Callithrix jacchus: one gene and its partners. The protein of the gene in region 1 interacts with the protein of each later gene in a biochemical or structural test. Links are inferred from orthologs where the notes say so. Each region holds a gene or a part of one and is shown in the gene's direction. Other genes may lie near its edges. The genes, in order: CREBBP, SREBF1, FOXO1, CARM1, KAT2B, MYB and SMAD3.

Region 1 (4,267 bases):
CCTCGCCGCCTCGGGCTGGGAACAGGCGTGAGGTCCCCTCACTCTCTAGTATCACGAGGTGGGGCGGGATCCGAATTCTGGCCCTGCCACTTTCTGCCTTGGCGACTTTGGAGAAGTTGCTCTGCCCTTCCTGCCTCAGTTTCCCCATCGGCCCACCTCGTCGGCGGACCCGAGGGCGGTCTGTACCTCGCAGGGGCCATTCCACTTCCCTGGCGGCGAGGGCTAGTGGCGTGGCGTGGTCTGGGCTGGGGTCGCCCCCGGCAGTCCCCGCCCGACACCACCGAGGAGGGTCTCCGGGAAGCGCGGAGCTGGGAACAAGCACCGCCGCCCCAGCGAGACGGGCGGGCCCGGGCCGGCGTCGACTCCACACCCCAAGGCCCGATCCATGGCCAGGCCGCTGCTCCTGGAGTCCGCTCGGGCCAGGAACCACGGCAGTCGTCGCCTAGTCGCCGTCAGAACAAAAGCCGCGGCTCAGCCCGTAGCCCCGGCGTCCCGCAGGCCTCGCCCGCGCCCGGCCACCCGCCGCCCCTTGCTCAGCGGCCGCGCCTTCGGCCCTTCCGCCCGAGCACGCTCGGCTCTTTCCGCCGCGGCCGGCGCAGGTGGAGGGGGCGGGGCGGGGGCTGTGCGTGGTGACGCCGCGGGGGGGGGTGACGCACTGGCGTGCCCCGCCCCCACCCCCTCCCCGTTCAGGCTCTGGAAAGAGAAGAAAAAAAACTTTCTTTTTTTTTTAATTGAGGAATCAACAGCCGCCATCTTGTCGCGGACCCGACCGGGGCTTCGAGCGCGATCTACTCGGCCCCGCCGGTCCCGGGCCCCACAACCGCCCGCGTACCCCGCTCCGCCCGGCCGGCCCGCTCCGCCCGGCCCTCGGCGCCCGCCCCGGCGGCCCCGCTCGCCTCTCGGCTCGGCCTCCCGGAGCCCGGCGGCGGCGGCGGCGGCAGCGGCGGCGGCGGCGGCGGCGGAACGGGGGGTGGGGGGGCCGCGGCGGCGGCGGCGGCGACCCCGCTCGGCGCATTGTTTTTCCTCACGGCGGCGGCGGCGGCGGGCCGCGGGTGGGGAGCGGAGCCCGGAGCCCCCTCGTCGTCGGGCCGCGAGCGAATTCATTAAGTGGGGCGCGGGGGGGGGAGCGAGGCGGCGGCGGCACCACCATGTTCCCGGGGACTGCCTGAGCCGCTCGGCCGGGCGCCGTCGCTGCCAGCCGGCCCCGGGGGGGCAGCCGGGCCGCCGGGGCGTCCCCGCCGCGGAGTGTCGCGCTCGGGAGGCGGGCAGGGGATGAGGGGGCCGCGGCCGGCGGCGGCGGCGGCGGCGGCGGCGGCCGGGGGCGGGCGGTGAGCGCTGCGGGGCGCTGTTGCTGTGGCTGAGATTTGGCCGCCGCCTCCCCCACCCGGCCTGCGCCCTCCCTCTCCCTCGGCGCCCGCCCGCCGGCTCACGGCCGGCGCTCGCTCCTCTCCCTCGCAGCCGGCCGGGCCCCCGACCCCCGCCCGGGCCCTCGCCTGCCCGGCCGCCCGCTCCCGGGGCTGTTTTCGCGAGCAGGTGAAAATGGCCGAGAACTTGCTGGACGGACCTCCTAACCCCAAACGAGCCAAACTCAGCTCGCCCGGCTTCTCGGCGAATGACAGCACAGGTGAGGAGGGGGTCCGGGGCAGCGGGATCCCGGGGCGCGCTGTCACCCCCATCCGGAAGAGAGTGCCCAGGGGTCGTGGTCGCGGAGACCGACCGAGCCGGGAGCCCGGAGCAGGTCCGGCAGCCGGTTCCTCTCGCCCCGCGCCGGAGGGTGGAAGTTCGTCGCAGGACTGTCACTGGGCCCAGATGGGGCAGCACATGCACGATGCACTCGGCCTACCCGCCCCTGATCAGCCCTCCTCGCGGGGACGTGAGTGGCACTCCAGAAGAGAAGAAGTAAAGTGCAGCGTGTGGGTTTGTTTGGGAATGCCCTACGCACCCTTCCACGGCCGTCCACACGCGTGGCTGTCCAGAGGAATGACAGCGGAGGGTACATTTGATGCTTAGAGAAAGCAAGATCGCGGCCAGAGGTAGCGCGATGTGTTTTCTTGATTGGCGACACATTGACCAGGCTGCAGTCAGAGGACGCAGAGCAGCCGCCAGCTTTGAGTTAGACTGAAGTTAGGAATGAGTGAGTTCCTTGGAAGGATGCTTAGTGCTTATTTTCAAAACTTTTTTTTTTTTTTTGTCAACTAGGCATTTAGTGTTTCGTTTCCATGTATAACTTCAAAAGAAAGTGAAACGGCAGATTTTAAGTTCATTTCGGCTGCAGTCACCGTTTGAGTTTGTGTTGTTTTCACCGTGTACATGTACAAAAAATTAAGGAATGTAGGAATTCCAATTTTTCTAAAAAATATACCAGGATACGGAATAAATCACCTTTTTTGTTTGTTTCCTCTAATTAAACAGCTTCCCTGGAAAGTTTCTTGAGTAATCATAGCTGTTTAAGAGTAGTACTTTAGTTTTCTATTCATTCAGTAATTCTGGGTCCTCCTGCGCTGGTTCATGGTAACATGAACTAGTTGTATTTCCTCTTTGAGAGCTCTTTCCTTTGTGGCAAAAACTTGTGTGCCGCTGCGAACAATTCTGTCTCCAGCGCAGCTTGCATTTCTCCAGTAGTCTTGCAGTGGCAGCGTCTGAAAGTCAGTTTCTAATGAATGAGTCCAAATTGAATTACATTGCTGCCTTCAGATTTGCACTAGACACAGCTGTTCAACTCGTGGAAATATTTCTGTGACCGACCACTAGCATATTCAGAAATCTGCTTCTGCTGTTGAAACAAAACTTGAATTTTGTGGCTTAAGCTTGACTACAATTCCTGGAATCAAGTTTTGATAAGCGACATTTAATATTAATGTAGAAGTGAAAAACTATTTTTAAAAATCACGAGGAGAGAACTTATCAAGTTAAAATTCCTTAAACAGTGGGGAGAAGTAAACGATGCTCGAGGTATATAAAAATCACTAATAATGCTTTTCTTTTTAGCTGATTAAAAGTTGAGTTTGACATTAATCTTATAAAATGAACTTATTGAAGTGAGAAATCTGTAAACAAAATAGTTTTAAGTCCCTTAAAGAACAATAGTTTAAGAGATCTTTGCTGCAAAACAGATCTCCGTTTCTTCATTAACTTTGCTGTGTTTGAGTGAAGAACCTTCACTTCTGTGAGACGTAGGTAGGTCATACAAGGCAAGTTCAGTTGTGAAGGCTGTCTGCTGAGACTGGTAACCTGGGTGGCTTTGTGGCTCTGCTATTGTTGAATGAATTTGTTGTAGATTTTGTGTTAAAAAGGAGGACAGTTAGTAACACAAGCGTTAACAAAAAGCTTTGTCCTGTGTACATCCAGCTGTTTCCAAGATGGAGCCCAAAGGATAGGTTTTTTGATAGTTTCCGTTATTGGATGGCCAGATGCTTAATAAATAACAAAATTGTTTACTTAGTAAAGAACAAAGTTGATCAGAAAGGATTTTCCACACTTACTCACCCTTTCCCCCTTCCTTTCCAATTTTGATCCTTGCAAGGCTCAGGAGCTCTTTTGTGGAAACAAAAGTCAGTTTGAGATGGTCCAATTTAGTCCAAAATAGAAAATCAGCATCATACTTAAGCTGGGTCCTGGGTTACCGTTCATCACCATCACACTATTGTGAAAGGGGCTGTTCGTGTGGAGGATCAAGGAATGAATCCTTATCAACCACATTAAACAAGGGGCCAAGCACCATGGCTCATGTGTGTAATCTCAGCACTTTGGGAGGTGGACGTGGGCGGATCACTTGAGGCCAGGACTTCCAGACCAGCCTGGCCAGCATGACAAAACTCTTTCTTTATTAAAAATACAAAAATTAGCCAGCCAGGCATAGTGAGTGGCAGGTGTCTGTAATCCCAGCTACTTGGGAGGCTGAGGCATGAGAATCGCTTGAACCTGGGAGGCAGAGGTTGCAGTGAGCCGAGATCTTGCTGCTGCACTCTCCCTGGGTGATAGAGTGAGCCTGTCTCCAAAAAAAAAAAAAACGGGATGACCATGTCTGGTTTAACTACTAATCTAAGAAATCAAGTAATGAGATGGTTGGAGATCTGAGGGATGTATATTAAACAGATAAATGCCTGCAGTCGTCTTAAGGACTGGAGGCATTTGGTCATGTGGGACAGACCAGAGAATAACATTTTTGAGGGACTCAATCTTTTTATCGAGGGGATGTGTCTCCCAGGCTCCCAGGGGAAAATTCGGCCTAGTGGAGCAGGTATGTGCCCAATGCCTATGATCCCAT
Region 2 (4,077 bases), on another chromosome or scaffold:
CCCCCACACACCCCTTCTAACATGCACAGGAATTTTACTCCTGCTTAGGGTGTGGTCAGACCATATCTGGAGTCTGAGCAAGGCAGTCTGCAGGATGGCTTGACTCATTAAAGCCCAGGGTCCAGAGGGCCTGAGGACCAGGCCCTGGTGAGTTTCCTTGGCTGCCCTCCACCAAGGGTGCTTCTGTCTGCTTGCATACCTCTGGGGACAGGGAGCTCACTGTCTTATCACATTCAGATAACTGAATGTTAATTCTGGTTTATTTCAACCCACCTCATTGGGACCCCTTCCCTCCTTCCCGCTCCACCTGGCTCTGTCCCTAGGCCACAGAACTGGGTTTGGTTTCTCTCTTCTCATCAGGGCTGTCTGCTCTGACCTAGTCCCAGCTGTCATGGTCCAGGGCAGCCTGGCTCTGAGCTAAAGCTCAGCCAACTCTTCCTTGTGGCCCCTGTCTTGGCCACTCCCAGGAACAAGCACCAAATTTGGGATCAGACAGCCCTGGGGCCAGCCGTCCTTGGGTACCCGCTTCCTCTGTCAGGAGCGGCACTGGGCCTGCTGGGGTCCTATCCCTAGGGCTGGATCTGGGACGAAACCAGATGACGACGATAGGAAATTCCAGCCTCTTTCTTCAGTCACTCCTGTCTTCAGGTGGCCAATCTTCTGGTTTCTTTGGAGAGAGGGCAGGCTGATCTCCACATCGTCACTAGCCTCCCAGCCTGCCGGTGAGGAAGCATCATGAGGCCCACGTTACAAATGAGGGAAACTGAAGCTGAGTGATGTAACTGGCCCAGCAGTTACATCAGGTCTGCTCACAACACAGCAAACCTGGGACCCCTGTAACTTGGGTCCTGGTCTGTGTTGTTCTCAAGAGTGAAATCTAGGAAGTGAGGAAGCTTTGGTTTGTGATGGGCCCAGGCCTGGGGCTTCCACTCAGCTCCTTGCTTGGTGCTGGAGAAACCGAGGCCCAGAGAGAGGACTTGGTTTACCCGCGTTCCCGCAGCAGCCGGCCAGAGGCCGCTCTGCCACGGTGCGCGAGGCTGGACAAAATGAATGACTGGAGGGCGCTCTGGAGGAGGGGCCCGCTGAGGGCAGATTTGTGGCGCAGACTGGGGATCAGGGGTACCCGCTCTCTCAAGGTGGGGCGGGGCCGTCTATCTGGGAGGGCGGGGCCTCCCCCGAAAGGCCCCGCCTCCTCCTTCACCGCCCAGCGGAGCCGCTGCCGCGGGAACCCAGTTTCCGAGGAACTTTTCGCGGGCGCCGGACCTCCTGCGAGGCCAGGGCAGGACACGAACGCGTGGAGCGGCGGCGGAAGCTGCGAGCCGGGACCGGCGGCAGTCCCTCAGAAGGGCCGTGCGCGGCGGCGGGCCCGGCGGGCCTCCCGGAGGAGGCGGCTGCGCCATGGACGAGCTGCCCTTCAGCGAGGCGGTTTTGGAGCAGGCGTTGAGCGAGCCGTGCGATCTGGACGCGGCGCTGCTGACCGACATCGAAGGTGCGTCAGGGTGGGCAGGGCTTGAAGCCGCGCCGGGTGGCGCGAGTGGGGGGCGCGCAGGTGGCTCCCTGGCCTTTGTCTCCCCCCTCCCCGGGCGCCAGCTTCGTGCTGAGCTGCGCGCCGTGGACCTCGGTGTCCCGGGCCTCGCCGAGCCTTCCTGGCTCCCGCCCTGGCGTTTCGAGCCGCGCGCTCGGCGAGGACTCCCGGGCCGGGCCGGTGTCCCTTGGCGGCTCCGGGCCGGGACACGTGCGCCTCTACGCGTCCCAGGCCGGGTACCGCCCGACCGGTGGGTGAGTCTCCAGCCCTGTGGCGGCCGCGGCTGGAGCTGGGGACCCGGGCGTCGTCGAAGCCCCGCCCCAGCCCCAGCCGTGACGTCAATGAGAGGTTACTCACGGTCATTCCCTCCGGCCCGAGAGTTCAGCTGGGCGTCGGAGCTCGTGCGCAAGCGCACGGGCGCTGCTCGCCCACTTGCCCGGCCACGGGTCGGGTTTCCCCGGTCTTCTACCGGCATCGCCTCCGCACTCATTCACTAACCGAATGCCAGGCCCCGTCTTAAGCACCGAGGGATCACAGACAGTCCTGGGCACCCGCTCTTTTCGGGAACACCATCCCCCGGGAAACCAGCAAATAGATATTTAGTTGCACGTTGGGTGGAGCGGGGCGAGGGGAGGGCAGGTAGGTGGCTACTTTGGGTAGAGCGTCAGGGACTTCTGAGCTGAGACCTGAGGGCCACCCCCAGGACTAGCAGGGAAAGATGTTTTCCAGGCCAGGGCGAGGGAAGGGCGAAGGCCCCGAGGCAGGGCCTAAGTGTGAGGAGTTAAAGGCTCGTAAAGGTTGCGGAGGGAGAGGACGCCAGCAGCCTTACTCGGCCAGGGAAGGGGCGGAGCAGGACCGCGGCACCTGCTTCCATCTTTGGAGCACCACACTGGCTGTCAGGGGACGGGGTTTGGGGCCAACGGTGGCACTAAGTGCCAGTTAGGAGGCCCGTTGCTTCCATTTTGCAGACAGCAAAGGAAAGTCCCAGCAAATTTCCTCCATGGTTTCCGTGCAGGAGCTTTAGCAACATGGGCTAAGTTGCACTTGGTTGATGAGGAAACTGAGGACGAGGTTGCAGGAAGAAGATGCCTAGACTCACAACCTGAATGGACATGTCCGTGGAACCTGTGGCCACCCTGGGGCTGGCAAAACAGATGTATCTATGCCACCCCCACTCCTGCCCTACTGCAGCCTTGCAGATGAGCTCAGCTGGCTGCCAGCTCCAGGAGCTTCCCAGCCCTTCCTCCTTCCCTCTGGGGCTTGGCTAGGGGAGGACCCAAGAGGAGAGGCCCTGATTTTGAGGCTTTTCCAAAACAGCCTCCCCTACACCTGGCAGGAGGGGTTGTCCTTCACTGCATCCTGGAAAGGTGGACCCTGAAATCCCAAGCCCTAGGGAGATCTAGGCCTGACTTAACTAGTTCCATAGCACAGGGCCCAGTGAGGGTAGTCCAAGAGGCAGCAGGACCAAGCCAGCCGGACATGGGCTTTGGGGTCAGAACTTGAACCTGGATGCTCCTCACTTCCTCTGCCATCCTGCTCAAGCCCTCTCACTCTCTGAACCTTAGTTTCCACCTCCAGAAGAATGAGGATACAAACCCTCCCTTCATGGGCAGCTGGACAGCAGAATCCGGTCTGGGCCACAGGTCTGATACAGACCTTTCTTACTGACTCATGGATAAAAACACTGTCTCTCCAGATCCAAAGGCCAGGCATGGGCAGCCATGTGGCCCAAGTTCTAGTCTGTGAGAGAGCCCCAGTGCCTTGAAGATTCGGCAGCCCCTTCTCACTAGGCAGGCCCAGCTTTACCCAGTTCAGTAGAGGATTTTTCAGTTTTTATTCAAACTTCCTGTTCTTTCCAATTAAACATATTTTTTTTTTATTATTTGTTTTGTTTTGTTTTTTGAGTCGGAGTTTCACTCTTGTTACCCAGGCTGGAGTGCAATGACGCGATCTTGGCTCACTGCAACCTCCGCCTCCTGGGTTCAGGCAATTTTCCTGCCTCAGCCTCCCAAGTAGCTGATATTACAGGCATGTGCCACCATGCCCAGCTAATTTTTTGTATTTTTAGTAGAGCTGGGATTTCACCATGTTGACCAGGATGGTCTCGATCTCTTAACCTCGTGATCCACCCACCTCGGTCTCCCAAAGTGCTGGAATTACAGGTGTGAGCCACCGTGCCCAGCCCCAATTACACATCTTTTTTCATTGTAGAACAATTAGCAAGTGCAAGTGAGCAAAAAGAAGAAACTAAAACCTTTAGACCAGGTGTGGTGGCTCACGCCTATAATCCCAGCACTTTAGGAGGTTGAAGCAGGAGGACTACTTTTATCCAGAAATTTGAGACCAGCCTCGGCCACATGACAAGATCCTGTCTCTACAAAAATAAAAAAATTAGCTGGGTGTGGGTAACACATGTTTGTAGTCTCAGCCATGCTGGAGGCTGAAGTGGGAGGACTGCTTGAAGCTGGAGCTGCAGTGAGCTGTAACTGCGCCACTGCACGCAGCCTGGGTGACAGTGAGATTCTGTCTCAAATAAAACTTTAAAGCTATCA
Region 3 (4,081 bases), on another chromosome or scaffold:
CCATTATCTTCCTACCTTTGGCCCCACTGATCCTTGACAGGATGTCCTGGACCTGCAGCCCAGATGAGGAAAGATGGGGTGTGGGTGGGGGTTTGACTGACGCACACAGCAAGTAGCCTCAAGAACTTGGGGGTGGGGCAGGCTGCGCCCCAAGGCTTTGGTCCTATCCCCCGCCCCCCCCCGCCGTTTTTACTTAACACCCGATCACTTCCGTTGTAAATATAAAATAACAAACAGTTAAATTTAATTAGGGGTAGGTAGTAAAGTGTCTTGGTTCTCGATAACTGCGTTCCTAAGCCCTTCGCTGCGGGCCCTGAACTCAGTGGACGAAGCTGGAAGTTCCCGCCCAGGGGAAGAAGTTCCCACGGAGGGCAGGCGGTTGCGGGTGCCTTTGGATCCCTGTCTGCACTGAGACCGGAGTACCTCCTCCGGGCGCCGGAGTCCCAGTTCCTCACGTTTAGCCCTTTAAAAAAGGTCAAGGATACAGTAAATCCGGCTGGGGGCTGCTCGGCTGGGCGACGCGTCCGCAGCTAGACAGAAAGGCACAGGCTGAGCCCGGGGGTGCGGACAGGTGGGCGCGGGGCGCGGAGAAGGCACCCTAGGCGCGGACTCCACCGCGGGGGGCCGCGGCGCCTGGGGCGGGGGGCGCGTGCCGCCCGTGCGGGGGCCGGAGGACTTGACAGATCGCAGCGAAAGAAAACATTCAACCAAAACAAAACCCAGCGATTCCCCACGTTGCTCAGCAAAGACTTCGTGGGTGGAGCCAGGAGGGAGCTACTGGGTAGAATTCTGCGCGGCCGCCTCCGCCCGTCCACCCCGCGCCCCCGGCCCCCGGCCCTGCCCGCTCGCGGGACTCGGCCCGCAGCCGAGGTCAGGGCGTAGCGAGCGCCTCGTCCCACCCGGGCTTCCAGAGTACTCGGCTCTGCAGCTCCGTAGTAAACAAAGTGTCGCCGCCACCTCCACGCTGGTTTGCTTCCTAGCAATCAAAACACTGAGAAGGCGAGAGAATCACAGAAACACTCGAGAATTACCAGAAAATAACAGAGATCCAAAAAAAATAAAAAAGGTGTGTGAAAGAGAAAAACACCCCGCTACCCCCACCAGCCCACTGCCGCCTCCCGGCGGAAAACCGGGCCCCGCCCAGCCCGGAGCGCACTGGCTGCCCGGGCGGCGGTGCCGCGTGCCCATTGGCTGCGCGAACTGTCGGTCAGGGGCGGGCCGGCGCGCGCGTCGCCGCGGGCGGGGGGCGGCGGCAGATCCCGTAAGTCGGGCGGCCTCGTAGTTGCTGCAGCCGCCGCCGCCGCCGCCGCCACATTCAACAGGCAGCAGCGCAGCGGGCGCGCCGCCGGGCAAAGCGAGCGGCCGCGGCGTCCGTCCGTCCTTCCGTCCGCGGCCCTGTCAGCGGGAGCGCGGCGCAGGCTGTGCCCCGGCTCGGCGGCTCCGGCCCGCCGTCCAGTCCGTGCGGCAGACCCCGAGGAGCCTGGATGTGGATGGCCCCGCGAAGTTAAGTTCTGGGCTCGCGCCTGCACCCCGCCGCGCCTTCCTCCCAGTGTCCGTCCGCTCGGCGCACCGGCTTCGTCCCCCCAAATCCCGGACCGTCTCTTCGCGCCCCCTCGCCCTCTGCCCCCGGTGCTGCGCTCTTCCCCTCTCGGCTCTCTCGCGGCTGGGGGAGGGGCGGGGGTCACCATGGCCGAAGCGCCCCAGGTGGTGGAGATCGACCCGGACTTCGAGCCGCTGCCCCGGCCGCGCTCGTGCACCTGGCCGCTGCCCAGGCCGGAGTTTAGCCAGTCCAGTTCGGCCACCTCCAGCCCGGCGCCGTCGGGCGGCGCGGCTGCCAATCCCGACGCCGCGGCGGGCCTGCCCTCGGCCTCGGCGGCCGCTGTCAGCGCTGAGTTCATGAGCAACCTGAGCCTGCTGGAGGAGAACGAGGACTTCCCGCAGGCGCCCGGCTCCGTGGCGGCGGCGGTGGCGGCGGCTGCCGTGGCCGCCGCCGGGGGACTGTGCGGGGACTTCCAGGGCCCGGAGGCGGGCTGCCTGCACCCAGCGCCGCCGCAGCCCCCGCCGCCCGGGCCGCTGCCGCAGCACCCACCAGTGCCCCCCGCCGCCGCCGGGCCGCTCGCGGGACAGCCGCGCAAGAGCAGCTCGTCCCGCCGCAACGCGTGGGGCAACCTGTCCTACGCTGACCTCATCACCAAGGCCATCGAGAGTTCGGCGGAGAAGCGGCTCACGCTGTCGCAGATCTACGAGTGGATGGTCAAGAGCGTGCCCTACTTCAAGGATAAGGGTGACAGCAACAGCTCCGCGGGCTGGAAGGTGAGCGGCCTCGGCGCGCGGCCGGACCTTGGGGGCGCGGTGGGGCAGGCGAGGGCGCAGCTGTGCAGGTTTGCTCGGCCCGAGGGTGCGGGGCAGGAGGGCAGCGCGTGCCTAGGAGGGCGGGCGCGAATCGGTGGTCGCAGTGGGCTCGCCCGGGTCCGTCCGGGACCGCAGTAGGTGTGCGCGCGCGCCAGAGTCCGCGTGGGACGCGGACAGGGGTTCGTTGGGGAACTAAGTAAAGAACGTGCGTCAAGAAGTGGACGTCAGAGCGGCCGAAAAGTTTGCCAGTGAAAGGAGAAAGGGGTTCGCTGGGAGCGGCACCCCCACGGCCCGCGCTGACTGCTTCGGCTGCCCCTTCCCTCCTTGACCTCCGCGGGGCGAGGGCGGGTCCTCTCCCGCCGCGCCGCGAGGCTGTTTCCGCCGGGCGCGGCGGGGGAGGGCACGGAAAGGGTCCCCGGAGCCTCCCTGCCCCGGGACGGGGCTGCAGGTGGAGGGGACTGGCAGAGCGCGATCGGCTGGGGACGGTGTAAGTCCGGCCACGCAGTTTCGGGAGGCGGTGCGCATTTTGCTTTGTTTTGGTTTTCTCCGGAGTGGCCTCGAGTTCAGGGGGCCGGGCGTCCCGATCCCGAGGTGGCGCCTCCGACACGTGCGAAGGGGCGGCCACCGCCTGCGGAGCGCCGGCGCCCGGCCGCGCGGGGCGAGCTAAAGTTCAAGTGTGACCCTCGGCGGGGGCGGGCGCGGGCGGTGACGAGGGAGGGGCTCTGGGCGCAGGAAGCTAGTGCCTTTAAAGGGCCAGCGCGTCCGGGTCGGGCGCCTTGGGGCCCGCGCTTCCCCATGGGGGAAGCGCCCGAATCTGGTCTTGCCCCTGGTACGAGGCTTTTAGTTAGAAACACAGAGGCTGCCCTGGGGTGCCGGGGGCTGGGATGTGTGCGTCTTTTCCTGCCTTGCTCTACCCTATTCTTGAGCGGGGAGGTCCAGATGGGGGAGCTGGGGGCCAGACGAGGGGCTTTGCGACCAGTGTTTTGACGGAGTCGGAGTGGCGGTGCGCGTTGAGGGAGCGGAGCCTGGAAGGAGGATTTTTGCCTTTCAGAACGTGGCCAGGAGGCACTTCAGCGTGGGGGCAGGCACTTACCGACTCCGAGGAGGGCCTCGGCTAGGTCCGGGGAGGCTTCCCGGGGGCGAGGTCCAGTCGCCGCGCGGCCTCCCCAAGCTGACAGTTTCTCACTGTCACCGGTGGCAGAACTGCTGTAAAGGCTGACTAGTTGAGTAAACACTGTTTTTTGAGACGGAGTCTCGCTCTGTCGCCAGGCTGGAGTGCAGTGGTGCGATCTTGGCTCACTGCAACCTCCGACTCCCTGGTTCACGCGATTCTCTGCCTCAGCCTTCCGAGTAGCCGGGATTACAGGCAGGAACCACCACGCCCAGCTAATTTTTGTATTTTTAGTAGAGACGGCGTTTTACCATGTTGACCAGAATGGTCTCGATCTCCTGACTTCGTGATCCGCCCACCTCGGCCTCCCAAAATGTTGGGGATAACAGGCGTGAGCCACTGCGCCCGGCCGAGCTAAACACCTTTTAAAACAAACTTTCCTCGCCTCTCTTGTCGACTGTATAGCATAATAAAGATTGGTGTTTGCTGCGCAGTTGTTAAACCAAGGTTATTTTACATAGTGTCGTCCCTGTGGTTAAAGCGTGTCAAAAAGGTTAAGTTACTCACACCGTATTGAAGCTCCTGGAGGAGTTCAAGATGCATTTTATTTTTTCCAAA
Region 4 (4,203 bases), on another chromosome or scaffold:
GAAACCCCATCTCTACTACAATACAACAACAAAAGTTAGCTGGGCATGGTGGTGCTCGCCTGTAGCCCCAGCTATTCGGGAGGCTGAGGCAGGGGAATTGAACCGGGAGGCAGAGGTTGCAGTGAGCTGAGATCGCAGCACTGCACTACAGCCTGGCCGCAGGGCGAGGCTTTGTTTTTTTAAAAAAGGAAGGAGGCGTAAATGAGGTTTCGGGGAGAGTTAAAGCTGGGGTGCTGGGAGGTGGCCCAAAAGGGATGGGGCCACCGAAAGTGAGGGGGGATGCAGAGAGACACAGGGGTTTGTGTTGCGGGAGAGGGTGCCAGCGCCGGGCTGGGCTGGACTTAGCATCTTTGGAGGAACGGCTCAGAGAGGAGGGGGTCAAGGATATCTTGTGCGAAAGGAGTTAAACTTTAAGGATGGGCCGGGCATGGTGGGAATCACGCCTGTAATCCAACACTTTGGAGGCGAAGGCTGGCGGATCACCTGAGGTCGGGATTCAACACCAGCCTGACCAACATGGTGAAACCCCGTCTTTATTTAAAAAAAAAATTTTTTTTAATAAAAAAAATAAAAAAACTTTAAGGATGAAGAAGGGAGTGTGGGGGGCAGAGATGATAAGGAAGGAAGGAGGGGCGGTCGAAAGACGGGAAGAGGTCCTTTCAACCAGGCTTAGATTGCGCTAGGAGGCGGAGGCCCTTCGGAAACGGTCGATGTCGGGGAGACCAGGAGGCGGGGCCACAGAGTGGGGGCGTGCCCCGAGTGCTGACCACGCCTCCCCCCCAAGCCCGTTCCCAGAGCGGGGCGCCTCACAAAGCGAGTCCGGTCGGGAGGGCGCGGGCAGGTACGGGGCATCGTAGCGGCCGGGCCCCGCCTCCCTGCGGGCTGCCTCACAAAGCCGGGCGGGCCCGGGGGGCGGAGCCCGGTGTCAGGGGCGTGTCCAGGTTGGGGCCGGGAAGCCGCATCACAAAGGGCGGCCGTTCATGCGGGGCGGGGTCCAGGGCGGGGTTCAGGGCGTGTCCGTGCGACGGAGCAAAGCCTCTCCGTCTCCGCGTCTCCGCGCCCCCGCGCCGCCTTACCCAACGCGGCCGTTAAGGAGGCGCGGGCTTGGGGGCGGGGCCCGGGTCTCCGACGGGCGTGTCCGCCAGCCCGAGCACCGCCCCGACGCACACTCCTGCCCCTCTGTTCCGGGCGGCGGAGCCACCTCACAAAGCGGCGACCGTTCTCGCGGGGCGGGGCGGTCCCGCTCCCTGGCGCGCGCTCGCGCGCTCGCTCGCTCCCCGCGCCCAGGGTGGCCGGCAGGGGGCGCAGCACCACGCGGCCGGGCTGCGGCAGCGGTGGCGGCGGCGGCAGCGAGGCGGAGCGTGGCCGGCAGGCGGCGCTGCCCGGCTCGGCCTCGGCCTCGGCCTGCACGGCGGCGGCGGCGGCGGCGGCGGCGGCGACCTGGGCCCGGGCGCAGCGGCGACGGCGGGGCCTGGAGCCGGATCTAAGATGGCAGCGGCGGCGACGGCGGCGGTGGGGCCGGGCGCGGGCGGCGCGGGGGTGGCGGGTCCGGGCGGCGCGGGGCCCTGCGCGGCCGTGTCCGTGTTCCCCGGCGCCCGCCTCCTCACCATCGGCGACGCGAACGGCGAGATCCAGCGGCACGCGGAACAGCAGGCGCTGCGCCTCGAGGTGCGCGCCGGCCCGGACGCGGCGGGCATCGCCCTCTACAGCCGTGAGTGCGGGGCCCCGGGGCGGGTGCAGGGCCGGGGTGCGCACGAGGCCGGCTCGGGGCGGGGGCCGGCAGGGAGGGGCCCGGGGCCCTGGCGTGGGGTCCCAGGGGCCGAGCCCGTGGCCGGCAGGGAGGGCGCGTGGAGGGCGGGTGCCAGAGATCAGACAGAGAAAAGAGGGCGTGCGTGGTGGCCGGAGGGGCGAGGTACCCGGAGTGAGCAGGGAAGCGGGAAATGGGGAGTGAGGGGCCTGAGATTTGAGAGGGGAGGGTGGGCAGGAAGTGGGGGGCCCTGAGTGGAAGGGGAATTTGAAGGAAGCTGGGCATGGGGGGCTTAAGCGTGGGGTAGGGAGGCTTGGGGTGCAGGAGAGGTGGGCGTCTCGGGGGCGGGCGTGGCCGCCTCTGCAGGGAGCAGGGTGGGGCGTGGGCGGCCCGGAATTCTCTCTGGGGACCCCTGGACAGCTCAGGACGGTCGGAAAGTGTTTGCTTGCCCGGGAGGACCGAGTTCCACCCCTGTGAAAGGCATGGTGTTTAGGACCCCCGAGAGGGAAACTTCGGGACCTGGGGAGAGGACCCATGCGTGGACGGTGGGAGCCGCAGGATGAGCTCCTGGTGGAAACGTGAACTGGCGGGGCCCCTTCCTGATGCCGGGCTTGGAAGTAAGAGGTAACACAGCTCTCTCCCATCCCTTCACCAGGGATGTGAGACGCTGGTTACATTTTCCGAAGCTGCTTTCAAAACTGACATTTCACGGGATGGTGGGGCGGGAGAAAATCACAAATGTTTTTGCCGCCCCCACCGCCCCCGGTCTTTGTAGTTCATTCTTCTTGTTATTCTTCTTATCTCTTCTCTTTGATTCCTGGTTCACATTTTGCTATTCTGTGTCATTTGGCTTTGTCTCTCTGGGCTTCTGGCACTGATGCCCTGGTGAGCCCCTCAGGAGGCCTCTAGCTGGCTTGGGTCCCGTGTGAATTTTTTGCCACTTTGGGAATGGGCCGATTAACGGAAATCCCGAGGAGCAGTCGGTTCACACTGGGTTTTCCCTGAACCTCGACTTTGAGAACGTGGACTAAAGGAGCCGTGTCTGCTGCACAAGGGTGCCGTCTCTTTGCTGGGGCAGAGCCTGGGTCTTCTTGAACCAGATGAGGAGAGGGGAAGGAGGATATTTCAGGGGGGCTTTCAGAGTTCAAGGCAGACACTCAGCTCAGTAGAACCCCAGATCACAAACAAAACCTATTCATTGGTGAAGAATTGGTAGATAGTTCTGTCCTGAACAGAACAAAGTGGGGGAGCATTTCTAAAACTAGGGTCCCGGAGCTTATCCTCAAAGGAGTTCCAGGAGAGCTGGCTATCTTTTTTTTGTTTTGTTTTTTGAGAAAGATTCTCACTCTGTCTCCCAGGCTGGAGTGCAATGGTGCTATCTCGGCTCACTGCAACCTCCACCTCCTGGGTTCAAGCAATTCTACCTCAGCCTCCTGAGTAGCTGGGACTACAGGCCTTCGCCACCATGCCCAGCTAATTTTTTGTATTTTTTTTTTTTTTTTTTTTTTAGTAGAGATGGGGTTTCACTGTGCTGGCCAGGCTGGTCTTGAACTTCTGACCTCATGATCGGCCCGCCTCAGCCTCCTAAAGTGCTGGGATTACAGGTGTGAGCCACTGTGCCCGGCCCTGGCTATGATTTTTAAATAAACCTTTAAGTTTTTTTTTTGGACCAGGCACCGTGGGTCAACACTTTGGGAGGCCAAGGTGGAAGGATCACTTGATGTCAGGAGTTTGAGACCTGGCTGACTAACATGGTGAAACCCTGTTGTCTCTACTAAAAATACAAAAATTAGCTGGCCAGGGAGGCACGTTCCTGTAGTCCCAGCTACTAGGGAGGCAGAGGCAGGAGAATCACCTGAACCTGGGAGGCAGAGGTTGCAGTGAGCTGAGCCATTGCACTCTAGCCTGGGAGACAGAGCCAGCCTCCGTCTCAAAAAACAAAACAAAACACAACTTTTAGAACAGTTTTAGTTTTTTTTTTGTTTTTTGTTTTTTTGAGATGGAGTTTCGCTCTTGTTACCCAGGCTGCAGTGCAATGGCGCGATCTCGGCTCACCGCAGCCTCCACCTCCCGGGTTCAGGCAATTCTCCTGCCTCAGCCTCCCGAGTAGCTGGGATTACAGGCGCGCGCCACCATGCCCAGCTAATTTTTGTATTTTTAGTAGAGACGGGGTTTCACCATGTTGACCAGGATGGTCTCTATCCCTTGACCTTGTGATCCACCCGCCTCGGCCTCCGGAAGTGCTGGGATTACAGGCGTGAGTCACCCACCCCGCCCGGCCCCTTTGCCCCTTTCGTGTTTTCTTACTCCTGGAGTAACATTTTGTGTGTTTTTTGTTTTGTTGTTATTCTCGAATATTCCTTATTATTAAGACAGAACTTCTCTTTGAGAGGTAATTGCAACAGAAACACTTTTTATCATTAGAGACTAGGTTTCACTATGCTACTGTGTTGCCC
Region 5 (4,323 bases), on another chromosome or scaffold:
TCTACAAACTCCCCCACCTCCCCATGACTATACATTATCCTGCACTACAAGTCAAAAGAACATAGAGAATCTGGAAAAAGGAGAGGGGGACTGTTTTGAAGGAAAAACACAACCCTTAAGGCGTCTGGCTGGGGAGCTATACAGCATGGGTAGAGTCTGATAATAAGCACATTATGACCCACATTACATACAACAAAAAGTAGGGCACTTCTGAAGGGTCCTGGGAAACAGCCTGGGCTTTTAAAACCTGCTTTAGGAAGGCGACCAACGGTACACCATTTCAAACGCAGCACTGACATCTATGCTCCAGTCATCAACAGTGAAAACAATAGTTTTCAACAAGAGTTGAAAACACTGAGTTGAGGTTGTCTTTTTTTTTTCTTTTGAAAGTTTGAAGCCAAAATCAATATTTATTCTTTTGAATGATGCTTAATTTTTTTTTCCTGGTTAATATGCACGCTGATGGTACAATTTTGAAAACTACGAAACGTTATAGAACCACCACCCAGAGACGAATCCTGTTAACAAACTTTTTGTATTTAAACTTTTTCCACTGCACATAGTTTTTATTTTGACAATGATTTTAGGCAATCGTTCTTTGAGCAACCAGCACTTTCAAACAAAAATTACAGAGAATATTAAGTTTTTCCCCCCCCTCTGGCAGATTTGGCCCAGAAATTGCTATGGGAAGAAAGTGTTAATTATGTTAAAACACAGTTTGACAGAAAGTGTTTAAAAAGAGAAAGGGAGAACATCACGCCTTTATTTTGATGAATTAGCAACAAAGAAAAGGATTAGCATGGACGGGTACTTTTCAAAAATGTATTTTTTTTTTCCTCTGGCTCCCGCTAGGGTGGAGGAAGTTGTCTCTCCGCTCAGAGACAGGGTGGAAGAGAGTGGAAGGACAAATGACTGAGAGGCTGCCCCCTCACACTGGCGCGGGCGTGCGGGGTCGGATGGGGGGCTGCGGAGGGGGGAGGTGGCCAGCAGGTGCCTGGGCTCCAGGCCCCTACCCCCACCCTCGTCCCCACCCTCACCCACACCCAGGGATTGGCCTCGCCCCCTGGCGGGCGAGCCGTAGGTGTCGAGGCACCCGGGTGGGGGGTGCAAACCCCGCGGGCAGCGGAAAAGAGGCCGTGGGGGGCCTCCCGGCTCCGGCACACTAGGAGGCTGGCGGCCGCCGGCACGCACACCCAGTCCGCAGCCCCGAGGAACATGTCCGCGGCCAGGGCGCCGAGCAGAGTCCCGGGCAGGAGAACCGAGGGAGGGCGTGTGCTGTGGCGGCGGTGGCGGCAGCGGAGCCGCTAGTCCCCTCCCTCCTGGGGGAGCAGCTGCCGCCGCTGCCGTCGCCGCCGCCACAGCCGCCACCACCATCAGCGCGCGGGCCCCGGCCGGAGCGAGCCGGGCAAGCGGCGCGCGCGGGGGAGGGCGGGGGCGGGGAGGGGGGTGGGCGAAGGGGGCGGGAGGGCGTGGGGGGAGGGTCTCGCTCTCCCGACGACCAGAGCCCGAGAGGGAGACCCTGGCGGCGGCGGCGGCGCCTGACACTCGGCGCCTCCTGCCGTGCTCCGGGGCGGCATGTCCGAGGCTGGCGGGGCCGGGCCGGGCGGCTGCGGGGCAGGAGCCGGGGCAGGGGCCGGGCCCGGGGCGCTGCCCCCCCCGCCTGCGGCGCTGCCGCCCGCGCCCCCGCAGGGCTCCCCCTGCGCTGCTGCCGCCGGGGGCTCGGGCGCCTGCGGTCCGGCTACGGCAGTGGCTGCAGCGGGCACGGCCGAAGGACCGGGAGGCGGTGGCTCGGCCCGAATCGCCGTGAAGAAGGCGCAACTACGCTCCGCTCCACGGGCCAAGAAACTGGAGAAACTCGGAGTGTACTCCGCCTGCAAGGTACGCGCGGGCTGCTCTCGGACCGCGGATGGTGCTAGGGGCCCAGCCCGCGGGACCCCCTCCCCCTCCCTCCTTCACCCCCGCCTCCCGCCTCCTGCCTCTCGCCTCCCGCCTGGGGCCGCTGCACCGCGGAAGTGCTCTTGTCGCCCGCGCCCAATTAGCTTCTTCTTGGATAAGAGTCCTGCTGGGTTTGAAGAAGGGGGATCGCTAAGACCGAGAGCCCTTCGTTCCTTCAGCTTGAAAAGAGTGGCTTCGGCTTCCGAGCTCCCGGGCTACCCTGGGGTTTTGTTGCTCTGTAGGAGCTCGCTGGAGTCACTTTGCCGGGAGTGGAACGGTGCTCTCCATGTGGCGGGAGACCCCGGGGCAAAGAAAAATCTTTTGGCGCACTGAGTGGTCCCTTCTGCAGTCGATCTCCTCCCTTGTCCCATTGGGAGGAACTGGGTACAAGGAGTGGGGGTGAAGACTCGCGGACTCTTGGCGCTTTGGGAAAGCGAAGGGGAGGAAGGCGCGGGGCGGGAAGGTGGGCAGAGCTCGAGGCGAGGGTCTCTTGGAGCCTGGCGCCCTCGGCTGGGGGCGGAGGCACTGCCGGGCGCAGTGACAGCCCTGTCATTATTGTATTATTACTTGTTTAGTTAAAACGCTGTCCCAGCTGCTCGAGGTGTAAACAGGATTTGGCAAGGTGACAGCCCAGCACAGCGGGCACTACTGCCCAGTGTGAGGACACCTATTTCTTGCTATCCACTCTCCATGCCAGTTTAGGAACCCCGTCACCCCCAGCTGCAGATCCAGATGTGGAGGCTGTGCTCCCGAGGTGGGAGCAATGCCCGAGGCCGCGGGGCAGGCTGGCCCTGCGCTGTCAGCAGCGGCTTTGTTTTGACAGGGTGACAGCTGAGGGGGGCGGGGACTTGGCCTTGTCAGCTCCTGCGGCCTGTGGCTGAGGCAGGGAAGAGACACACTCACACACACACACACCTCCCATGTGTTCTTCCTGCCTGCTGCAAGCAGGGTCAGGTTGCCCGGTTCCAGATTCCTGATTCCCACAACCAAGCTGCAGGGGCCACTTCTGAATTGTGACATAACTATAATTTATCCTACTAGAACATCTCGGTTAGACTCTTTTTAGTACTTACAGGAGCTTCTCAGTCGCAATGGAATGTCTGTGCTTGCTCTTTTTCCACACCATATCCTCATGTTTATATTGAGCACCTCTGTGTCCTATACTGGTTCAATAAATATTTGTTGAGTGAATGTAGGATCTAGCCCACTGCTCCTCAAACGTTAATGTGGATAGGAATCTCCTGGGGAAACTGGTTAAAATGCTGATTCTGAACCAGCTGGTCTGAGGTGGAAGCTGAGGGTCTGCATTTCTGACCAACTCCTAAGTGATACTACGCTAGTCCACAGACCACGTTCCAGTTCAGAACTGGGCAGTATATTATTTGGCTCTTTGAATTCAGTAGAAAAGACAGAAACAAATAATAATGCCATGTGGTTATTTCTGAAGAAGGAATGCAAAGAAGATGAAGTTGGGAGTGTGCTTCTAAGAAAGGCACAAGCCCAGGAGTTGATGATGAAGGGCGTTAGACTGATGAGAACAGGACACTGACTGTGGCAGGCAGAAGGGAGAGCTGTGTATAGAATTAAGAACAAGGTCATGGGTATAGGGCGTACTGCTTGGGTGATAGGTACACCAAAATCTAACAGATCACCACTAAAGAACTTACTCATGTAACTAAACAACCACCTCTTCCCCAAAACCTATGAAAACACAGAAGAAGGTCAATTTCTTGGTGGCCTTGGTGTTTTGCAGCCGAAGTGGGCTCGTGTAGGAACTGTGTCAACTCAGTGTTTCTGTACTGGCTTTATTTAATTATTTTTGAAATGGAGATTCGCCCTTATTGCCCGGGCTGGACTTCAGTGGCGTGAACTTGGCTCACTGCAACCTCTGCCTCCCAGGTTCAAGCGTTTCTCCTGCCTCAGCCTCCCAAGCAGCTTGGGATTACAGGCATGCGCCACCATGCCTGGCTAATTTTTTGTATTTTAATAGAGATGGAGTTTCTCCATGTTGGTCAGGGTGGTCTCAAACTCCTGACCTCAGGTGACCTGCCCGCCTTGGCCTCCCAAAGTGCTGGGATTATAGACGTGAGCCACTGTGCCCGGCCTGTCCTGGCTTTATTTTTAATTTTATTTATTGGGTTCTCCTCACTAGCACCTGTTAAAGATTTCCTGCTGCCTGCTGTACCTTTAATATCTGAAAACTTTCCTGAAATTTTGGTTTTATCTAAAACCATGAGCATATGTGCCCTGCATTGATACCTGTGATCTTTTCAAATTTCCATGGGTGAGATGTAGCACCACTTCCAAAGTTTGAGATTTGAGTGTTTTCTGGTCACTTTTATGACCCAACTTATAGTAAGAGAAAATTTCTTTTATTTTTAAAAAAAT
Region 6 (3,609 bases), on another chromosome or scaffold:
GGCTTCTTCTGTCACACAGGCTGGAGTGCAGGGGCATGAGCATAGCTCAATACATCCTTGAACTCCTGGGCTCAAGGGATCCTTTCACCTCAGCCTCTTGAGTAGCTAGGCCTACAGGTGCACGCCACTACACCCAACTGATTTTAAAACACTTTTGTAGAGTTGATCTTACTGTGTTGCCCTGGCTGGTCTCAAACTCCTGGCCTCAAGCAATCCTTTTGCCTCCCAAAGTGCTGAGATTATAGGCATGGGCCACTGTACCTGGCCACCAATATTCATTTTATTATACCACTTTGCTTAATTTTTTACTCCATTGATTAAAGAAATAAGGTATTTCTCGAATTCTCATACTACTTCAAGGATTTTAAATGTCAATATAATAATGCTTTCTTTTTAATGAACAAGGCAAAGAAATGACCTCATTATGAGAGATAACTATGGAAGCTCATTTTTGTCCCATTTTCCCACTTAAATAGTATATAACAGATTTTGTTACTCTGGAAAGCAGTACTTTTAATGATAAATTTTGCATAAAAATGATACAGATAGAAAATATTAAAAATAGTTTTATTCTTGAGCTTCATAATCCAGGAGAAAGTTTATGTAGTATTCTCCAGTGATGCTCCAATGCATTTGCACCCTCGTGGTTCAGTATAAACTTAGAAAATTCAAGAGGTTGGTAAAAAGAGGTCTTCATTCCCATATGGCCTCAGAGGATACACTGCTGATTCTTCTCAAAATTAACAAGGCTATCGAACTTCCTCTTTCTTTAGCATGCATTCCCCCACCCCCATTGAAATAGTAAAAGGGAGGCTTAAACGGTTTTTTTGAATTGAGAAACTGTTTTTCCTGAGAATGGAAAGACTTTAGTAAAAAGGCGTTGCTGTTTGAAACTATACTGCGGGGGTTAGGATCTTTCCCTTGGGAATGCCATTTTCCACCCTCATCTCTGTCTGATTGGAATAACAATTGGGGTGGTTTTTAAAGGGTAGGAGGTTTTTTGGTCTCAAAAGTTCTTGCTAGTCCTTCGAGAGATAAAGAGTGAAGTATTCTTCATCAGCAGCATCTTATCACCCACCAAACTTCACCGTGTCCCTATTGTGGTGTGTAGGCCCTGCTGTGCTGCATTCAAAGAAGGAATTTCTTCAAAGCAGCTGGAACTTCACATTGTGTTAGAGTCTTGTACCACAAACGGTCAGAATAATTATGAAGCGTCATTGTATTGAAAATACTCCTTTACCAAGGAAATGAAATGGTTAAAAGATACTGACATTTCTAGAAAACGATGTGCATTCCAGATTGTGTAACTAAGAGAAATCTATGGATTTCTAACAAGGCAATAGAGAAAGCCTGATCTTAGGGGGTGGAGAAGAAGAAAACCATTAAAAAGGGGGAAAACTATGACTGGGCCCAAGGGAAAGGTCTGTGTTAGAAACAGTTTTCTGTCAATTCACTTTAATCTGAATTGAAATTTTTTGTTTGTGAAATTTGTATGTGATATATTTCTGTGCAGAACTGATAATGCTATCAAGAACCACTGGAATTCTACAATGCGTCGGAAGGTCGAACAGGAAGGTTATCTGCAGGACTCTTCAAAAGCCAGCCAGCCAGCAGTGGCCACAAGCTTCCAGAAGAACAGTCATTTGATGGGTTTTGCTCAGGCTCCACCTACAGCTCAACTCCCTGCAACTGGCCAGCCCTCCGTTAACAATGACTATTCCTATTACCACATTTCTGAAGCACAAAATGTAAGCCATTCTTGAGAATCTGGTTTAATGAGAGAGATGGTTAATTTAGCTCCAGGTAGTAATCATATTTTGCAGTTGTATACTGTTCAGAGAACCTTCCTGGGCATGATCATGGCCAGTCGTCTTCAACTTTCCTGGGCATGATCATGAGGTAGATAGGGTGTAGATATTGTTTGTTATCACTGGTTTATGTCTTCAGAAATGAAGATGGTAAGTGCTTTGCTCAGGGTGACATAGAGATAGTGTTGACTAGAATTCTAACTTGCTGCTTCAAATCTAATTTGAAGGTAACCTTTGAATGTAAATGTACTTAAGGTACGGTTGAAGAATAAGGGAATGGAGTTGCATTTGTAGATGTAACACTTTTCTCTACCAAAACCAAAAGGAAAGATATATTTAAAGATATATTTAAAGAGTTTGACAGTGAAATTCAGTGGTTATGGTATATTCAGTTCTGGTAATGATCTAGCAGACATGTCTTGATTTATTCACTCAGTAAGTGTTTACCCTCTTATTCTAAGTCAGGAGCAGAACTTTGTGACATTCATTTTCTGATGCCTCCTCTTAGTCTCCTTTGGATCAGTGTGATCCCTTCCTTATTTCTAGATGTTTTTATTTAGAGAAAGAGATAATCCATAATAGGTGGGAAAAGAAAAAGAGGAAAAGAAATCGAGAAGCTTTAATCTTAAGACTAACAATAATAAATGATGAAACTTACCCAAGAATGGGTAGGCTTATATGCAAATTCTATGCAAAACATGTTCATAAATAGTTTTTATTCTTCTCTGTTCATGCATTTGACTACAAACTTTACAGAAAGGTCTCAGATGAATACATTATCATAAGAAGTTCTGTGCTTTTTATTAAAATTCATAATTATTCCAAGAAAAATATTTTTATTTACACACAGCTGGTGCCATTAGTTTTTCCCATAGAAACTATTTTCAAACATTCATTCATGTATTTAGATTATATTTTTTATTTTTTCATTGTGTTTTTCTCTAATTAAGGAAATTAAAGTGCCAGTAACTTCCCAAAATTTAAAGTGCTCATCAACATTTCCCAAGGATCTATAAGCACTTTAAATTTTTTTACTATGTTGCTTTAGCTATTTAACCATTTTAAAGGCCTGGCTAAATTTCACAGTAAAAGGTTTTTAAAAATTGTTTAGTGTATTTCAGTCCCAGAACAAAACCTCAGGAAGCCAAGTCCCCTGAAGCATATGTAACCCTGAATGACGTGGCCTTTGTCTCTCTTTCCCATCTAGGTCTCCAGTCATGTTCCATACCCTGTAGCGTTACATGTAAATATAGTCAATGTCCCTCAGCCAGCTGCCGCTGCCATTCAGGTATGATCATTTTATAAAGAAACTCATTTACTATTCAAAGCACCACTTTTAAGAAATGCTTTATTTCTTTCATCTAAACACATATTTTCACCTGAGCAACTGAACTTAAAAGGAAAGGGAATGTGGAGAGGAGAGCAGAGTCTCGGCTAGCCATCTACCAAGCTTGTCTTCTAGACTGAGTTTGCTCTGGAATTTTCTGATTCTTTGATGTTACAAGATGAAATAACTCAGTCAGCATCCACTCTAGCCTGAGATTTCACATCACTCCCTTAAGTCTGAAGTAACGTTTATAGAGATTTCCATAGGAGCCAAATTTGGTGGGTGTTGGTGTCACACTGAGTCTCTTTGGGCTGTCTTTGGTACCTCATGACCATATAGGCTACACCCATTGTATTTGTAGCTTCCAATCAGACCTTTGTCTTTATTTCCCTTATCTTGTAATTTCAGAGACACTATAATGATGAAGACCCTGAGAAGGAAAAGCGAATAAAGGAATTAGAATTGCTCCTTATG
Region 7 (3,609 bases), on another chromosome or scaffold:
CCCGGCCCCACCCCCATCTTTTGGGTGAGGGCTGAATTGGCTCTGGTGTTGTTTGTCAGCTCATAGAATGTCAGAGCTGGAAGGACCTCTGAGGCCAGCCCCTCATTATACAGAGACACAGGGTCCCCAAGAGAATGTGACCAGCTCAGAGTCACACAGCAAGAACAGGAGACTGCTGTTGGCTCATTCATAAGCGTCACCCCAGCTCACCTTTTGGCTATTTCCGGCATGTGCTTTTGTCTTTATTTTTTGGGTTCACACATTCCTGGCACTCAGGCAGTATGACTTCAAACGACATTTATTTTAAACTTTGTGACTGTCTTTAGTTTGACTGTCTGGAGAATTAGATGCACACCTTCACTTAGCTGTGAATGTCACCTCCACCCAGCCTGGTGCCAGAGGCCAAAATGTGGCCCAGATCTTGCCTTCCCGCCTAGCCCCAGTACCAGGTGTATTCATCAGAGGAGCCCAGGTGGAAGTTATCCTGGGCCCTCTGCTGAGCTTCCCATGGGACAGCAGGCCCAGTAGCCTTTCGGCCAGCCTGTCCCTGCTGGCACTGCCTGCTATGGAACAGCCAGAGCTCCTGTTCCTAGGTGGGCAACCAGACCCCACACAGCATGGGCACCCTGGCCCAGGTCCCTTGTCTCTCCACACCATCTCCCTATTCTCAGAGGCCCACTTGGAGAATTCTCTCCACTCTGGGAGTCAGAACTTATGGGCCAGTCTTCCATCTCCCCTTGCAGATATGTCAGCTGTGCACCTCCTGGTGAGGAGGTGGGTTCAAGGGGAGGATCAAGTCAGCCTGTCTCTCGAGTGGTACTACTGTGGAGTGTATGGGAAATGCATCACACACCGTGTGTCCCCGGAGCTGCATCAGTCAGGCTGGTCTGGGGGATCCAGGGCTTGCTTTATGCAGGACAGGAGCAATGGACCTGGCTTTTTCTACCCCCCAGTCCTGTTTCTGTGTTGTTGGCAGGATGCAACCTGAAGATCTTCAACAACCAGGAGTTCGCTGCCCTCCTGGCCCAATCCGTCAACCAGGGCTTCGAGGCTGTCTACCAGTTGACCCGCATGTGCACCATCCGCATGAGCTTCGTCAAAGGCTGGGGAGCAGAGTACAGGTCAGTTATGGGTGCTGCCAACATCAGGGGACCTAACTCCAGGTGACTTGGGACAGCAGAGCAGCCAGGGACTCCTCAGAGGTGAGCCAGGCCATCCCTGGGGTCCATAGTAGAGATCAAAGATCAGAGAGAAGTCATGGCCTAGCAGGCAGGAGGGGCTGGGGCAGCAGCACAGAGTAATGCTTGATGGAACCGAACAGCTGCAGGCATTGTAAACACACGCTCCATCTTACCCTCGTCCCAGCCCTGGGTGGGGACACTGGCATCATCCCCCTGTACACATGAGAGCTAAGGCCCAGGGAGGAAACGTGACTTGCCTGAAGTCACCCGGGTAGAAGAGCTGTGTCTAGAACTCTGCCCTCTTGGCTTCTTCCTTATTCTTCATTTTGGGTTGATGTTTTAGAATGACCCTCTTCAGGACATTAGGTCTTCAGCTCATCGTTCCTTTTCTCCTCCGTGGCTCCACTTCTGACTCAGGGACCGTGGTGATGCTGAGGAGCCCAGGATATTAAAACTGAGAGGCAGGGAAGGGAGGTGATTTGGGTAGTGATAAAGGAACAAAATTTCCTTGCTGAGAAATGACTTTTTTAGAATTCTAGATACTGGTTTCTTTTCTTTTTTGAGATGGAGTCTCACTCTGTCACCCAAGCTGAAGTGCAATGACGCAATCTCGGCTCACTGCAATCTCTACCTCTGGGACTCAAGTGAGTCTCCTGCCTCAGCCTCCCGAGTAGTTGGGATTACAGGAGCACACCACCATATCCAGCTAATTTTTTGTTGTTTTAGTAGAGAGGGAGTTTCACCGCGTTGCCTAGGGTGGCCTCAAACTCCTGAGCTCAGGAGATCCACCTGCCTCAGCCTCCCAAAGTGATGGGATGACAGGCAGGAACCCCCATGCCCAGCCCTAGATTTTGGTTTAAACATGGCCCTGATAGGAGTTCAGGTCTACTTGGTCTGCTTGGTTGAATCTCTCAGGCCATTCTGCTTTGGATTTAGAGAATCACATCCCTTTTCTTTCCACTCATGGACAGGAGTTTGCTGAGAGGCAGGGCTGTGTGTCCCCGCCTTCTGCTCCACACTCCCCCCTGCCAGCCCCCAGCCAGCTCCCGTGGCAGACACAGAGGTGCCCACACGTCAGCTGGAGCCAGCGCCTTGCAAGCTATTCTCCCCTTCTCATTTTTCCAGATGTTTGGAATCCATTTTGTTTTGCAGTCATGCTGCACCCAGGCCAAACCCATTTCAGTGTTGGCCTCGGGCCACCGTTTGTAATGAAATCCAGATGAGAATGACTTATGGAAAGTCAGATTCTCATTAGAGGATTTCATCCTGTAAAATCCTCCTCTTCCACTTACCGTATTTTAGCTGCTGTTCTTCTGCGTCTGCCCCAGGGTGTCAGGGAACATAGCCCCTTGGTCTCTGGAGTGTCTCTGAAATCCAGGAGTGACCAATTGAGCAATCACAGTGGTCAGACCTCAGAAGAACTTACAACCATGGTATGGCCTGAAGAGATTAGCCCAGGTCCAAAGGTCCAACTGGAGAAATGTTTTAAAACCTTTTAGCCCTGGCTTAGAACATTTAGGGAACGGGAGTGAATCTTTTTTTTAGTGGAGAAGGGACATCTTTAAAGATGGACTGCAGTGGAAAAGAGCAAGGGGACATCCATTTGCTCTTCTTACACCAGGCTGTAGTCCAGAGGGCCACACTCAGGTACCCTTGCTGATGCAGATTCCCCAGGATGTACAGGCCCATTTCTGAACCTCCCCTCTGTACAAGCAAAGCATAGGCCAAGCAAGGAGGGTGATGCCCTCCAGACAGCAGCCCTGTTCGTGGTACGGCATCGCAGCGCTGTAAGTGCTAGGAGAGGCTCTTTGGTGGTGGAGCCTGTCCCTGGGGACACTGTATCACCACGCGGGATGTCCTGCCAGCACACCCAGTCCTCTGAGGCCCACCGCGTCACTGCTGCCTGGCAGCACTGCACAGCAGCCCAACGGGCAGGCACGGCCCCTTCCCAGAACAGCCTTGTTGTCGTTCTGCCTGTTGGGCCAAGGAGAGTAAGATTTCAGCCCTTCTCTCTGTGAGGTGGCCGAAAGCAGGGCCCAAGGCCCACACCTCTCACCTCCAGCTGGCACCAGTGACTCCAGCCTCAGCAGATAGCCTTTGCTCAGTGGAGGCCTTTGGGAGCCTGCCTGCATGCTGCGTCATCAACAAGCCTGAATTTAGACAAAGTGCTTTGGCGAAAAGAAACGTGTGGTGTGCCTTGGTTTTTTCCAGTAATTGTTCCATGGCTCACTCTGCTTGTAAGATTTTCCAAAATAAGGCTGTAGATGAGAATTATATCAGCACATTGGGAACCAAAGGCATGCGGACACTGTTGGCACTTTGTAAAAAACACCCCTCAATCAGACAGACACACGTCATCACGGCCTGCTGGGGCTGGGCCTGGATTTGGAGATAGGGGAGTGGCACGAGCCCATGTGGTACAGATGGG

What was found.
Region 2: the proteins of CREBBP (region 1) and SREBF1 form a complex in vitro, tested with the Homo sapiens proteins (5 studies listed by BioGRID, with this or other methods). The link is inferred for Callithrix jacchus from reciprocal best matches to the Homo sapiens genes CREBBP and SREBF1.
Region 3: the proteins of CREBBP (region 1) and FOXO1 form a complex in vitro, tested with the Homo sapiens proteins (3 studies listed by BioGRID, with this or other methods). The link is inferred for Callithrix jacchus from reciprocal best matches to the Homo sapiens genes CREBBP and FOXO1.
Region 4: of the proteins of CREBBP (region 1) and CARM1, one has a biochemical effect on the other in vitro, tested with the Homo sapiens proteins (4 studies listed by BioGRID, with this or other methods). The link is inferred for Callithrix jacchus from reciprocal best matches to the Homo sapiens genes CREBBP and CARM1.
Region 5: the proteins of CREBBP (region 1) and KAT2B form a complex in vitro, tested with the Homo sapiens proteins (4 studies listed by BioGRID). The link is inferred for Callithrix jacchus from reciprocal best matches to the Homo sapiens genes CREBBP and KAT2B.
Region 6: the proteins of CREBBP (region 1) and MYB form a complex in vitro, tested with the Homo sapiens proteins (6 studies listed by BioGRID, with this or other methods). The link is inferred for Callithrix jacchus from reciprocal best matches to the Homo sapiens genes CREBBP and MYB.
Region 7: the proteins of CREBBP (region 1) and SMAD3 form a complex in vitro, tested with the Homo sapiens proteins (3 studies listed by BioGRID, with this or other methods). The link is inferred for Callithrix jacchus from reciprocal best matches to the Homo sapiens genes CREBBP and SMAD3.

What each region holds. Positions count from the first base shown.
Region 1 is NC_133513.1:5,997,279-6,001,545, reverse strand, and holds the start of CREBBP (CREB-binding protein), read left to right. Parts: upstream 1-1,409; 5' UTR 1,410-1,539; coding exon 1,540-1,624; intron 1,625-4,267. UniProt on the Homo sapiens protein: Acetylates histones, giving a specific tag for transcriptional activation. Mediates acetylation of histone H3 at 'Lys-18' and 'Lys-27' (H3K18ac and H3K27ac, respectively).
Region 2 is NC_133506.1:69,313,172-69,317,248, forward strand, and holds the start of SREBF1 (sterol regulatory element-binding protein 1), read left to right. Parts: upstream 1-1,231; 5' UTR 1,232-1,398; coding exon 1,399-1,489; intron 1,490-4,077.
Region 3 is NC_133506.1:159,848,028-159,852,108, reverse strand, and holds the start of FOXO1 (forkhead box protein O1), read left to right. Parts: upstream 1-1,254; 5' UTR 1,255-1,686; coding exon 1,687-2,313; intron 2,314-4,081. UniProt on the Homo sapiens protein: Transcription factor that is the main target of insulin signaling and regulates metabolic homeostasis in response to oxidative stress.
Region 4 is NC_133523.1:10,039,667-10,043,869, forward strand, and holds the start of CARM1 (histone-arginine methyltransferase CARM1), read left to right. Parts: upstream 1-1,377; 5' UTR 1,378-1,488; coding exon 1,489-1,711; intron 1,712-2,151; exon of another isoform or gene 2,152-2,349; coding exon of another isoform or gene 2,350-2,371; intron 2,372-4,203. UniProt on the Homo sapiens protein: Methylates (mono- and asymmetric dimethylation) the guanidino nitrogens of arginyl residues in several proteins involved in DNA packaging, transcription regulation, pre-mRNA splicing, and mRNA stability.
Region 5 is NC_133518.1:58,551,521-58,555,843, forward strand, and holds the start of KAT2B (histone acetyltransferase KAT2B), read left to right. Parts: upstream 1-1,500; 5' UTR 1,501-1,575; coding exon 1,576-1,878; intron 1,879-4,323. UniProt on the Homo sapiens protein: Functions as a histone acetyltransferase (HAT) to promote transcriptional activation. Has significant histone acetyltransferase activity with core histones (H3 and H4), and also with nucleosome core particles.
Region 6 is NC_133505.1:141,913,458-141,917,066, forward strand, and holds part of MYB (transcriptional activator Myb), read left to right. Parts: intron 1-1,513; coding exon 1,514-1,748; intron 1,749-3,015; coding exon 3,016-3,096; intron 3,097-3,543; coding exon 3,544-3,609. UniProt on the Homo sapiens protein: Transcriptional activator; DNA-binding protein that specifically recognize the sequence 5'-YAAC[GT]G-3'. Plays an important role in the control of proliferation and differentiation of hematopoietic progenitor cells.
Region 7 is NC_133509.1:14,237,810-14,241,418, forward strand, and holds part of SMAD3 (mothers against decapentaplegic homolog 3), read left to right. Parts: intron 1-976; coding exon 977-1,121; intron 1,122-3,609. UniProt on the Homo sapiens protein: Receptor-regulated SMAD (R-SMAD) that is an intracellular signal transducer and transcriptional modulator activated by TGF-beta (transforming growth factor) and activin type 1 receptor kinases.